Linked DNA regions of Caenorhabditis elegans. The protein of the gene in region 2 purifies or fractionates together with the protein of the main gene of each other region. This does not show direct contact. Each region holds a gene or a part of one and is shown on either strand. Other genes may lie near its edges.

Evidence for each region. Proteins that work in one complex are often made in the same cells at the same time.
Region 1: the proteins of C34F6.1 (region 2) and F17B5.1 fractionate together in Caenorhabditis elegans (co-fractionation; one large-scale study listed by BioGRID). This does not show direct contact.

Annotation. Positions count from the first base shown.
Region 1 is NC_003279.8:13,183,154-13,188,692, forward strand, and holds F17B5.1 (protein-disulfide reductase), read left to right. Parts: upstream 1-1,698; 5' UTR 1,699-1,776; coding exon 1,777-1,830; intron 1,831-1,960; coding exon 1,961-2,124; intron 2,125-2,193; coding exon 2,194-2,608; intron 2,609-2,660; coding exon 2,661-2,843; intron 2,844-2,891; coding exon 2,892-3,094; exon of another isoform or gene 3,095-3,334; coding exon 3,335-3,458; intron 3,459-3,507; coding exon 3,508-3,710; intron 3,711-3,876; coding exon 3,877-4,864; 3' UTR 4,865-5,039; downstream 5,040-5,539. Other genes in the region: rgba-1 (Defensin-like protein), read right to left, coding at 299-619.
Region 2 is NC_003284.9:11,191,959-11,198,835, reverse strand, and holds C34F6.1 (BPTI/Kunitz inhibitor domain-containing protein), read left to right. Parts: upstream 1-1,994; 5' UTR 1,995-2,001; coding exon 2,002-2,052; intron 2,053-2,097; coding exon 2,098-2,230; intron 2,231-2,273; coding exon 2,274-2,476; intron 2,477-2,527; coding exon 2,528-2,681; exon of another isoform or gene 2,682-2,821; intron 2,822-2,932; coding exon 2,933-3,265; intron 3,266-3,326; coding exon 3,327-3,494; intron 3,495-3,574; coding exon 3,575-3,742; intron 3,743-3,795; coding exon 3,796-4,578; intron 4,579-4,627; coding exon 4,628-4,939; intron 4,940-5,006; coding exon 5,007-5,327; intron 5,328-5,379; coding exon 5,380-5,684; intron 5,685-5,803; coding exon 5,804-6,004; 3' UTR 6,005-6,351; downstream 6,352-6,877.

The sequences.
Region 1 (5,539 bases), on a different chromosome or scaffold from region 2:
ATCAAGGTGTATAGTTTTATTAATGATGTCATAGTATTAACAATTGAAGAGATTGTAAAGAAGCAAATGAATATGACAAATAATCGGTAAAAACCTCTTTTTTGCATTGCACAGGTTGTTTGAAAAAAGTTGGGGTTTACTCTAAGAAACTAGTGGAAAGTGTAGAGAAATAGCGAATTCAGAGGAAAAAAACACAAACATTTGTCATATTCTCTAAATTGAAGGCGGAGTAGAGTGAATTACTATTTTTAGTATTCGCAAATTCAAGCTACTCCACCTTTAAAACAAGATTATCTATCTATCTACATCTACAGACAAAACCACAACCGCAGTAGGTAGAGCAATCATTGGATCGTGAAGGAGCACAATATCCTGAGTTCGCGTTATAATAGTATCTACAGTTGCTATTGCAATCTGTGACTCTACCACGAGTACTAAGATATCGATATCCCTTAATAGCGTTGCGTTCGAGTGGCGAGTCAAATTGGTATCCCATAAACGATGATCGTCCATTCAAGCCTTTGCCTACCTTCCAGTCATACCAAGGATCTTTACAATTTACTGTCATCGAGAGCACAAATAAAGCCAAAAGACAGAAGGAAGTCGAGTGCCCAAACATTTTCCAACTTTGTTCTGAAGTTCGTACAAAATTTCTGAGTATATTCTAATAAACTCGAAATGGCACCGAGAAACCCAGTGTCATAAAGAGATTGCTTTTGTTTTTTCATTGGTTTTCTTCTGTTTAGACTAACAGAAAAGAATAGAAAAGCTATAGTTCAGCAGAATTGGTAAACTTTCAGGTTTTTGCTGAATCTAGATGTTTTAAACAAATGTTTGAACCTCCATGAAGTTTTCTTGAATTTTTTTTATAAATTTTATCATGAAAACGGTTTCAGGAACCATTCCAAGTATATAATAGTAACACAGAATAAAATAAAGGAAAATTTTTTACTTACTATCAAGAGGCCGGTTAGATTGAACGAGTCCTTCACTATGGTGGAAGTAGCAGATAAAACTTCAACACGGATTCAGCTTTTAAACAAAGTGGGTGGGCATACAGTAGGCAGACAAATCTGTGGATTGGTGATTGAGAATAACAAAACTCAAAATTGTAATGTTAAATCAACAGGAAACTTGTCACGGTCAAGCACAGAGAGCGCATTTTTGCACATGTTTCTGGCTAGAAATAAGGCAAAGTGACACATTTGATCGCCGTGCAGGGGCAGCTGTTCAAAAAGTTGTTGACAATTATTAGTTGAAAAAAATATGACAATTGTTGTGCTCTCAATGATTGGGAAGGTTCAAAAGTTCGAACAAATATATGTAGTTTAGTCCACCGACGCATGTTTTAATTCGAGGGACTAGGCAAATTTTGAAACAATCTGAAATGGGATACTAAACTTAGAAATTGATATTGAAAGTCAACAACTAGAGCACGAGCGAGCATCACAATTAACATTTCATAACCTTGTATTGTATGCCATATGATTTTATTTTCCATTTCCTAAAGAACGTGATCAAATTAAACAAAAGTACATTCAGAAAATTCCATTAATTTGAATTTAGAGATGTACTTTTACGAATCTATTTCAGAACAAATCACACAAAATTACTGATAAACTTTTTCATAGTTTTCACTTATTTGTTCAGTGTTGGCGAATGTTGAGTATAAGTTGTTTACGATAATTCGGTTTTGGTGATAAACTCCGTTTTTAAGGACGATAGAGAAGACCAAGTAGTTCGAACATTCATTTTTATTGAAGTTTGGGCTGCAAAATGACAGAGTCGATTGATGGAAACCCTTGGAGAATTCTCGAACTTGTGGCTGAGGTTAGTTATTGGAATCCTACTATGTAGTAAATATTTTAATTGAAAAATTTTCCGATTGAAATTTGGTTTTATCATTTCAAAGCCTGAGGGTAATCTCAATTCCTACCTGGTTAAAAACCCTTTTTTTCAGAATGAATATCATCTAGAACAAGACAATAATGTTGATCAACTTGAACAATTTTCTGTAATCCCCGGATTTCAAGAAGAACTTGTTGAATTTGCAAAGAAAAAACTATTGGATTCCATAGAAGTTCAACAATTTCTTGTGGAAAGAGATATTGAGTTTCAGGAGAAGTTAGTTATTCTCTATTTTTTTTTTCTAAATAAGAAAATAGTAATTAATTATAATTGTTATGTTTACAGGAATATTGCGTCACTGATAGATGAATTAAGTGATAATCAAGACGATGAGTCGAATTCCAAAGAAATACATTTGGAATTGAAATCTTCAAAAAACAAATATGAAGGTCTTAGAAAGAAGATCGCAAGTTTCAAAGGGAGACAACAGAAAGCTGTGGGATTTTTGAATTCTGGACTAGAGGAAATTCGAATTCTAACTTCTCCCAATGACAAATTTTGCTACAAAGTGAAGAATGCTTCTTGGAGGTGTTCGGTCGATAATTCCATTGATCTACAGAAGATCAAATTGATATGCGAGAAGTTAATCGGATTGGAAAAGAAAATGGAAGTTACATTTTGGACATCTGAGATCATGAAACTTCTAGAAAATCTTGATCAACGACATTATGCAGTAGCATTTGGGATTATTATTGGGATGGTAGGTTGCTAGAGATTTAGTATTCTTGCCTACAGTGATTTGCTCATTACAGGCAACTTGGGAATACGAAAACTCAGAAAAATATCATTTGCTGGCACTTATACACCTTTCAATTGGTAGAGATGAAACAAAGACGGATGTACTTCTGTATTGGGAGAATTGGGAGAATGAGTCAATTGAACAATCCATCGTTAGTTTGAGAATTTTGATGATTTTCTACATGAAAATAAGTATTGTGAGTTTGAAAGAATGCTCGTGGCAATTGTTGACTAAGAAATTATAGGATGATTTGGAGTGCAGGGAAAACTTTGAGTTCAGAATTTGCCAGGTAATCGTTTTCATTTTGGAGCACAAAGAGTTTGAGTCAAGCCACTTGACCATGATAACTGAACTCCTCGGAAGTATTGAACAACGATTTGGGAATTTCACGGAAATGTGTGACATTATGTTCACACATTTTGAAGCGAAAGCTCAGATGTTTGACAGGTTTGTTATTAAAATCTTTTTGATTGCTATCCAGGACTCTCACATTTCCTTCGACACTTGGAACGCACTTTTCGGCCAAACGCCGTTTCAAACTTTGTCAGGATTTTGGAAGACGTTGGTGAGACTATGAGCAGTAGGAGAAAATCGGATGTCTGTCCAACTTCTGCTCAATGTTTGAAACATTTCTAAAAAACTATCGGCGGACTTCTAGATTTTAAACTGATGAACCTTTTTTTGTAGCTATGAAGCAAAGATGCTAGTTTTCATGAGAAATGAGCATTTGTCTCTTCTCCAAACACAACACATCGACCAATGCATGGACACTCTGAATATTCTGATTTTATTGTACTTGAAAATAAAAATCGTGAGTTTGAAAGTAATTATCAGGACAATTTTTGATGAATAAGTTATAGGATAAGTGGACGTATAGAGAGATAATTGAACAAAGAATTTCTCAGTTCATCATTTGCATTTTGGAGCACACAGAGTTTCAGTCAATCCACTTGACACTTATAATTCAGCACCTTGAAAGTATCGAGCAACAATTCGGGTGCTTTTCTGGAAAGTTCGACAATATGTTCAAAATTTTTGAATTGAAGCTTCAGATTCTTGACAGGTTGGTTTTCAAAAATTTTTCCTTTTTTACAGTAACAGAGGAAAATGTTAACTCCGTTGTATGTTCACATAACGCTAACTTCCTCAATAAGATGAGGTTATAGCTTTGGTTGTTGTACTATTCAACTTCAACGTAGCCTTATGATTAAAAAAATTTCATTTTTCAGACCAGAACAAGAACGAGTTTCCAAATGGATAAAGTCGCTTTCTTTGCGTTCTTCAATCTCAGAGTTCTCGTCTGAACACTCTCATAGTACAGTTACAGTAATTGAGCACTCTGAGAAAACCTATGAGCTTGAACAAAACGTTCGAATTGACCTTGAGGAAACATTGAAATTGGAGAAAAGAATTGAAGAAGTATCGATAGAGGAATCCAAGAAGAAACAGGAGAAACTGGAGTTGAAGCAGAGAGAGGAGGAAGAAGCAAGAATCAAGGAAGAAGAAGAAAAACAAAGAAAGATTTTGGAAGAGGAAGCTAGGAAAAAACAGGAAGAGGAAGAAGCAAGGTTAAAAGCGGAGGAAGAATTGAAAATTTATGAAGAAGAAAAACGCAAGAAAGAGTTGGAAGAGGAAAGGAAGAAGAAGGAAGAACTGGAAATAAAACGGAAAGCTGAAGAAGAGAAGAAAAAAAAAGCTCTGGAAGAGGAAAAGAAAAGAAAAATCGCAGAAGAGAAAGCTAGGCAAAAACAGGAAAAAGAAAGAAAAAAGCAGGCGAATAAATGCACATTCCTCCAAAATTTCACATTTATCAGGCACCAACATCCATCTCAAACATATAACGAGCGAGTGCTCGATGGAAAAGTGGTTGGACTGTATTTCTCTGCTCATTGGTGTCCGCCATCTCGCGATTTCACTCCGGTTCTTGCACAATTCTATAGTCAAGTAGAGGATAACTTCGAAATACTATTCGTTTCGAGCGACAATAATACACAAGAAATGAACTTCTACTTGCAAAATTTCCATGGCGATTGGTTCCATTTGCCACTCAATTTGTGCAATTCAATGAAGCACCGAAATACCAAAAATCATATTCCTGCCTTAATAATAATGAAACCCGATGGAACAGTTATTACTGATGATGGACGAAATCTAGTTTCTCAATGGATCAACGATCCGAAAGCATTGGTCAACCATTGGAAAGCAATGTTGAACTGAAGTGCGAAAAGGATTTTTATGTTTCTGGTTCACTTTTATTTAATTTTTTTTTTCATTTTAAATGCTCTTTGTGTAGAAAATCTTCGCAAGTATTAGATCAGTTTTACTAATCTGCCTCTTCCTATATTAAATCCTGAAATTGCATTCTTGACAGAAATAAAAAATAAGGGCACGTTGTCGACATGGGGTGTCCCGAGAAATGTGACTGCACTTTGAGAGCTTATATCTTGGCTTAGGATTGGCGGTTTTTTGAGCAATTTGTTTCAATAGCTTACAAAAATAGCGCCTTCCATCGTCATCATTGTGGGGGGGGCGCTTTTGGGAAGGCTAAAACACTGATTTGAGCGGAATTCTGGAGTATGGTCGAAATGGATGTATTCTTTGTACTGACGAATTTCATGTTTTTTCAGCCCCAAATCTTCAGTTTTTCTGACATTTGGTTCCAATTTGTGCGCAAGAGAGAACTTCGTATTTCCAATTTTTTGAAACTATTTTGAAAAAAATTGGCCCACTTTCCAAAATGTAGACCATCATTCAATTTTTGCAAAATCAAAAAGATTAATTAAACGTGAAAAACTTTTCTACCACTCTCTCTCTTTCTCTATTTTTGGTGATGAATTCGATAATTTTCATTTCTTATTTTTAATAACGTGAGGAAAACTCAATTTTGAAGAC
Region 2 (6,877 bases):
ACGACAATCAGTTGCCATCACTCAATTCCTTCGTCTCTTCTTTCACCTTTTTCTTCTCCGTCGTCGTCGACGTCTTCGTTTTCGGTAATCCTGAACGATATATGAAACCAGCAAGTAAAAGTGTAAACTGGCGCGGGCGCGAAGTAAAAAAACCAAACGAAAGAGTATGCGAACTTTAGGTTCGCAGTGTGAACAGAGAAGCGTGCAGAAAAATGAAATTGACTTGAGGACACAAAAAACGCCAGAGAACCCCCTTTTTGATGATGATCGGTGATAATAGCTGTGGATAGTTCCTGCCACTACGGCTACTTTCGATTACTTGGAAATGCCAAAAAGGAAGTGGGACAAGAACTTAGTTCTTCGAGAGTGATGTTTCGATGTTTGAGAAATTACTGTTTCAGTGTTCACTTTTTGTGTTACACGTATAAAACACAGACAAAAATCAGTAAAGATTATAAAAAATAAGTATTTAATTACATTATTTCTTTTTTCATATATTGGCTTAGTCTTAAAAAATATTTATTACGGGTGGTTTTTAAAGAAAATTTTGAATTGCTTTTTAGATTTCACTTGGAATATTTGAAAACAGCGATCCACAAATTGTAGACCTTATACTCCAAAATACTTGTTTTAAAGTATATTTTGAAGAAGAACGGTTCGAGAAGCCTTTCAGTTCCAAATATGTGTACGGCTAATACTTTACTACACACTCCAGAGTTACAATACAATTTCAACATTCAACATTAATTCCAGACTGGTTATTAACAACGTTGACATTCAAACACTATTCTGAATACATATTTTCCAACGTGTACCACACTTGATCACGATAACTTCTTATCAATTTTTTAAAACTTAAGTGATGACGAAGTCCAAACAAAGCAGTTAGTATAAGTGTCACGCAGAGCAAAATAGTTGTCATTTAGGTCAATGTTTATCCAGAGGGGGAGAGCACAACTCTTTTTTCGGCGTACGTCTTGAGTTAGCTGTCTGTATGACGACGAGAAACAGCGGAATGTAAAGAGAAATAGGTAAGCACCGGGGCGCGACAATGTCCACTACATGTCAAAAACGGACGTGGACAGGGAGAAGCTTTTGGGAGCGGGCGACTTTACGAGAATTATCAAACTTTGAACTGGACAGACGGGAAGTACATAGAGATTGTGCAATGAATTTAAGTTTATTGCGCGGGTGGTAATGATAAAAATTGTTTTTTTTTCTATTAATGTAGCTGTATACTAAATTTCGAAAGTTTTTGCAATTCAAACAAAAAATGGAACACTAATTTTCGAACGGTTTTGTTATTATGTATAATAGTTTGCAATCAGAAATACTAAAGATGTATGTATAATTGCATCTAAATTAGTGATTATGGTGTCAAAATGACTCCTGCTTTAAAATAGGGACGCAACAATTGATACACTTAATAAATTAAAAATTGGTATTGAATAAAAACAAATTCAATTTTCAGGTTAAAAACAAATTTGATTGCATGAACTTATTTTGCAAAGTGGCACTACAACGTTTTTTGAAATAATAAAATTATGCGATGTTTTTTGTTGGAGGACACATAGACTATAATCCAAATAATAAGAGCAGTTTGAGCTATTAAAATTGAACCCCCAATTTCAAAAACATGATTATATCATTTTTGTTCTAGGTTTTTACCAGCAGTGTTTCGAAATCCCTACTTTTGTTTGTTTGAGCTTTTTACCTGACCTTTAAGTGTTAAGAACTCCATTTTCCTCTTTCTATTTTCATTTTCCCTTTCACAAAACACGGTACCTTGTACCTGCGAGCCATTTTTTAGATCAAGCTCCCGCCCCGCGCGCCGTCAGCTCCTCCCCACAAGGAGTTCGACCACCCTGTTTACATTTCCGGCCAGCGGTCACTCATTTCACGAAGTTGACCTACACTCGGATCACCAAGCACTTTTGGCTTCCGATTTGCTTCTCATATCCACTAGATTCATTTTAAATTTACTCATTTTACAGCGAAGCCATGAGACTGCTGCTCTTCATAGTGGCCTTGGTGCCGTTGGTTTTATCACAGGTAAAATAATAAGAAAGATGAATTACAACAACCACATTTTTCTAGTATTATATGCAACAACAGATGCGACCTGTTATGCAACCACAACAACAGAGAACAATGTATTATCCAGTAAGAACTAATTGTCAAAACAGATGTAATCAACAGACTAGATACAGGTGGAATGTCAGACCAACAAGTAAGTCGACATAGTTTCGTTTTTTGTCATATTCATATAACAGATATCCGGCCAAATGTTCAAGTACAAATTAGAACTATTCCGTCTGCACCAGGTCCCATTAGGCCAGTGGTTAATCCAGCTCCACCACTTCCAACACTGCCAACTCCGCCACCAAGCACTCTTCCCCCAATCACTTACCCTAGACCAACTGTTGGAGCTCCTATCACAACACAACAAGTTCTAATCACTGAAACTACTACTCAGGTAAGCAGAACAATAGTTAGTAATTCTTTATCTCCATTCTCTATTTTTTAGCCACCAACTACAACTACCACTCTTGAAACTCCAGCTCCAGAATCCACGCCGTCTATGGCTCCATCACATACAGACCCCACTCCAGCACCGGAGACTACTGTTGCACCAACAACAAAGTACTTGCGTCCGGAGCGCAAACAAACATCAAAAGCCAGTAAGTTTTTTGCCTGCAACCAAACCACCCACCCAACCCAGCATTTTTTGTAATGTTTGTCTGCGTGATCGAACAGTTCAACCAAACTGACCAAGCCGCCGACAATTTGAACGCGTTTCATTGCGTTTCAAAGCAACCACTTAAAAGATAATTATGTGTCAATAATAAACAAACAAATAGATATATAGTAGTAGTTGCGACTCCCGTTATATCAAAATGCATCTTCACACCTTTCCCTCCACCGTTTGCAGAATACTTCAACCCATGCGCCGTCGGCCAGCCACTTCTCAACGAATTCTCCACTCCAATCTCATGCAACTACTTGAACCAACCAAACGGAGGATGCCCAGAAGATCACTATTGTCACACAGGAGCATCTTTCTCCACTACCGCTTGTTGCCCATTAGTTTCTTCGGAAGACAGATGTGCTCAGAGAAGGGACACTGGAGAGGGAGATGAACTTGTAGCTAGATGGTATTTTGATAATCAGGCCAAAGAATGTAGACGTTTCTTATACAAGGGGATCCGTGGAAACGCTAATAATTTTGTCACCAAAGCTCAATGTGTGGATGCATGTGAAACAGGTTTAGATTTTACTTCAGTACTTAACAATATCACATAATATTATCACTCTTGATTTTTTAGAAACTGTGACTGATGAGGCAAACCCATGCAAATTCAGTAACGCTGCTAAATATAAGAATGGATCTCGTATTATTTGCGGACCGAACGATGATTCAATGTGCCCGAACGGCTATTACTGTCATATTGGCGAGAACCCGGAACTTACTGCTTGCTGTGAGAACAGTGGACGTGAGCATTTTTTTTTGTCAAACGTTTACTCTATTTGTTCTCTACCTCTCGCCAAGGCTCTATTTATTTTAATTTTACAGTAACCGATCCGTGCTTACTCTCGATAAACGTCGGACAGGGTAAAGCCCTCCTCAAGAGATTCTACTATAACACTTTCTCAAAGCGATGCACAGAGTTCATGTACAAGGGTACCAAGGGCAATGAGAACAACTTCTTGTCATATACACAATGCCAAGAAAAATGTCAAAGTAGGAACTTTCAACAAATACTTCGTTATTTAAGATTTTACATTGTATTTTAGAGTGGGATAACCCATGCCCTGTCCCAGTTAATTATGCTCAAAAGAAGGAATGTGGAATGGAAAACTCAAATGGAACTGAATGCAGTGCCGGACATTGGTGCCATATTGGAGCTTCCAAAGAATCTTCAGTATGCTGTCCAGGAGCTTCCCCAGATCCATGCTCTCTTCCAATGTTTTCCGGAGAAGGAACCGCGAATCTCACAAGATGGTACGCTGACCCAGCAGATAAGTCATGCAATAGACAGTGCAAGTCTTTTGCTTACAATGGAGCTAAAGGAAACCAGAACAACTTCCTCACAAAACAACAATGTGAATCTAAGTGTAAAAGAGAATGCAAAAATCCATGTGGATCAGGAACAATGCTTATGACACCTACCAACGAGCCACGCACATGCAGCCCAAGTTCGCCATGCCCAAGCTCGCACTGGTGCCACGTCGGAATAACTCCAGACACAACTGTGTGCTGCTCTGCTGTTCAGAATACGTGTGAACTCACAATGACGAAGGGTTACGGAAACTCTCATCTGACAAGATGGCACTTTGACAAAAACCTCAACAAATGTGTCAAGTTCATTTACAGCGGAGAAGGAGGAAATCAGAATATGTTCCTAACACAGGAAGACTGCTTGTCAGTTTGTCCAGTATTTGAGAATCCATGCGGCAATGGAAAACCGCTCTTGATTGGCACTAAACCAAAGTTGTGCTCTCCTGATGAGAGATGTCCATCCACCCATTTCTGTCACATTGGAGTTGAAGGATCGGAGAATTATTGTTGTCCAAAACGTATGTTTGTTCTAAAAATTTTAACTCTATCTAAAATATATATTCATAGATGGTGACCCGTGCCAACAAGCATTGGCTACTGGAACAGGAGGATTTTCAATTACAAGATACTACTATGACAAAGAAACTCGCCGATGCCGCGATTTCAGCTACGAAGGACAGAAGGGAAATGCCAACAACTTTTTGACTCTTGAAGATTGCGGTCTTGTTTGTCCAGTACTTCCAAACCCTTGCAGCTTGGGAGAACCACTGCTTAGTTTGCAAAAAGAACCAGTCATTTGCGGCGGAGAAGACACATGTCCAAACGGATATTATTGTCATGTTGGAGGTGCCCCCGAGACAACCAACTGTTGCCCTGGAAGTGAGTAGACTACTAGAGAGATATCATTTAGTTCACGCAACTGTTCAATTTTGCATTCTATTTCCAGCCCGTCGTCCATGTGATCTCCCATTAGAGGTTGGTCAAGGAGTTGAGAAACTCGAGCGTTGGTTCTTTGATGGAGGAATTCAAATGTGTCGTCCATTTGTTTACAAGGGAATGAAAGGAAACTCAAACAACTTCCTGACCAAACAGTCGTGCCGACAGTCTTGCAAGGAAATGAATCCGTGCGGTTATGGTGATCCGTTGGTTGACACCACCGGAGAAAGAATGTTGTGTACTGGTGGACAGAGAGTTAACAGCTGCCCACAAAATTCGTACTGTCACGTTGGATCTAGTGCTCTCACTACGCTGTGCTGCCCTAAGAGAAGTATGCGTGAATTCCATTTATTATTAGACACTTATTTTATTATTGAATTCAGAAATCGACCCGTGTGATCAAGCCGTAGAGGAAGGAACAGGATCAGAAGACTTGCCAAGATGGTTCTTCGATCGCAAACAAAACAGATGTGCTCCATTTACATACGGAGGAGTTGCTGGAAACGAAAACAACTTCATTAGTCAAAATACTTGTATGGAAGCATGTCCAGAATACAGAAATTATTGTCCGCATGGAATTCCATTGATTGAGGGATCAACAGTAACCTCGTGCGGTATTGACAAGGGATGTCCGGAAGGATTTATTTGCCACATGTCTTCTGAGTTCAATGTTTCCATTTGTTGCCAGGTAAGCTTTTCCAGAGTGAAAAGTTTGAAAAAGAGTGAAACAGGTTGAGAACAAATACGGATCAAACGGCACTACACGCTTATCATGGAGAAAGTTATCATTTATTTTTTTATTTTCAGGACCCAATGGATTTCTGCCTCTCAGCTCGCGACTCGGGACCATGCAATAACTTTGAGAAGCGATATGGTTATGATGCGAACACAGATACTTGTGTTGAATATCAATATGGAGGGTGTGAAGGAACATTGAACAACTTCCATTCTCTGCAAAGATGTACTGAAATCTGCTGTAAAGAATACAAGAGAAGACATAGATTGTAAATGTAATTTGTTTTCAAATAACTTTTCTCAATCTTCAATTGTTTTTCACTCTTTTTACCGGTAATTGTCGCTATTTCATTTTAACAAACAACTAAATTAACTCCCTTGAAAATCACCAAAAAGAGTTCTTTGATTGGATCTCCTTGTTTTTTTTTGTAATTGTCTCTCTCATTATTAAATATGCTTTCATTTTTTTGTTTTGTTCCATTCTTACCTTCTCTGAGTCGTACCAAGCTCTGTTTGCTCAGCGCCATCAAAATTGACCACTACCATCCATTTTTATAACAAAGATTTTTATACATTCATTGTAATATTTATTCAGTGTAATTGAATAAACATTTCACCTTAGCCATCTTTCATTCGACCTCTGTTCACCAACTGAACCTGATTAATCAAGTCAGCTGTTTAGTTCTGAAAAAATCACGAAGGGATCAATAATCCCACTTTTTGATCTTCAAATTTCAGATTCCCGATATTCGGAAAAAAAATCATATCAATTTTCTTCCCAGTTTTCAATTTCGTTGTTCAGGCTTCTCCATTTTCTCAAGCCTGTCTTCTCAAATTACAGAGATGCCCTTTCCATTCAGACACGCTTTTGCCGTGATTTTTGATCTAGTTTCCTCTGACACTTTCTTCTTTCTTTCAAATAATCAAAGGTAATTGACCTGGTAGACAGAATCCAAGGAATCTCATTTCATTCTCCTGTCTCATTGCCACCACCATCGCCACACACAAAACTTTCTCGATAATTGCCGTGAAGTTTGGCCAATCGATGAGTCATACTCCTCACACACACACTTATTTCTTTTTACTCTCCACTAAATACCAAGAAGCAAAACATTTATCGTTCACTTTCTGATTTTTTTAACGTCA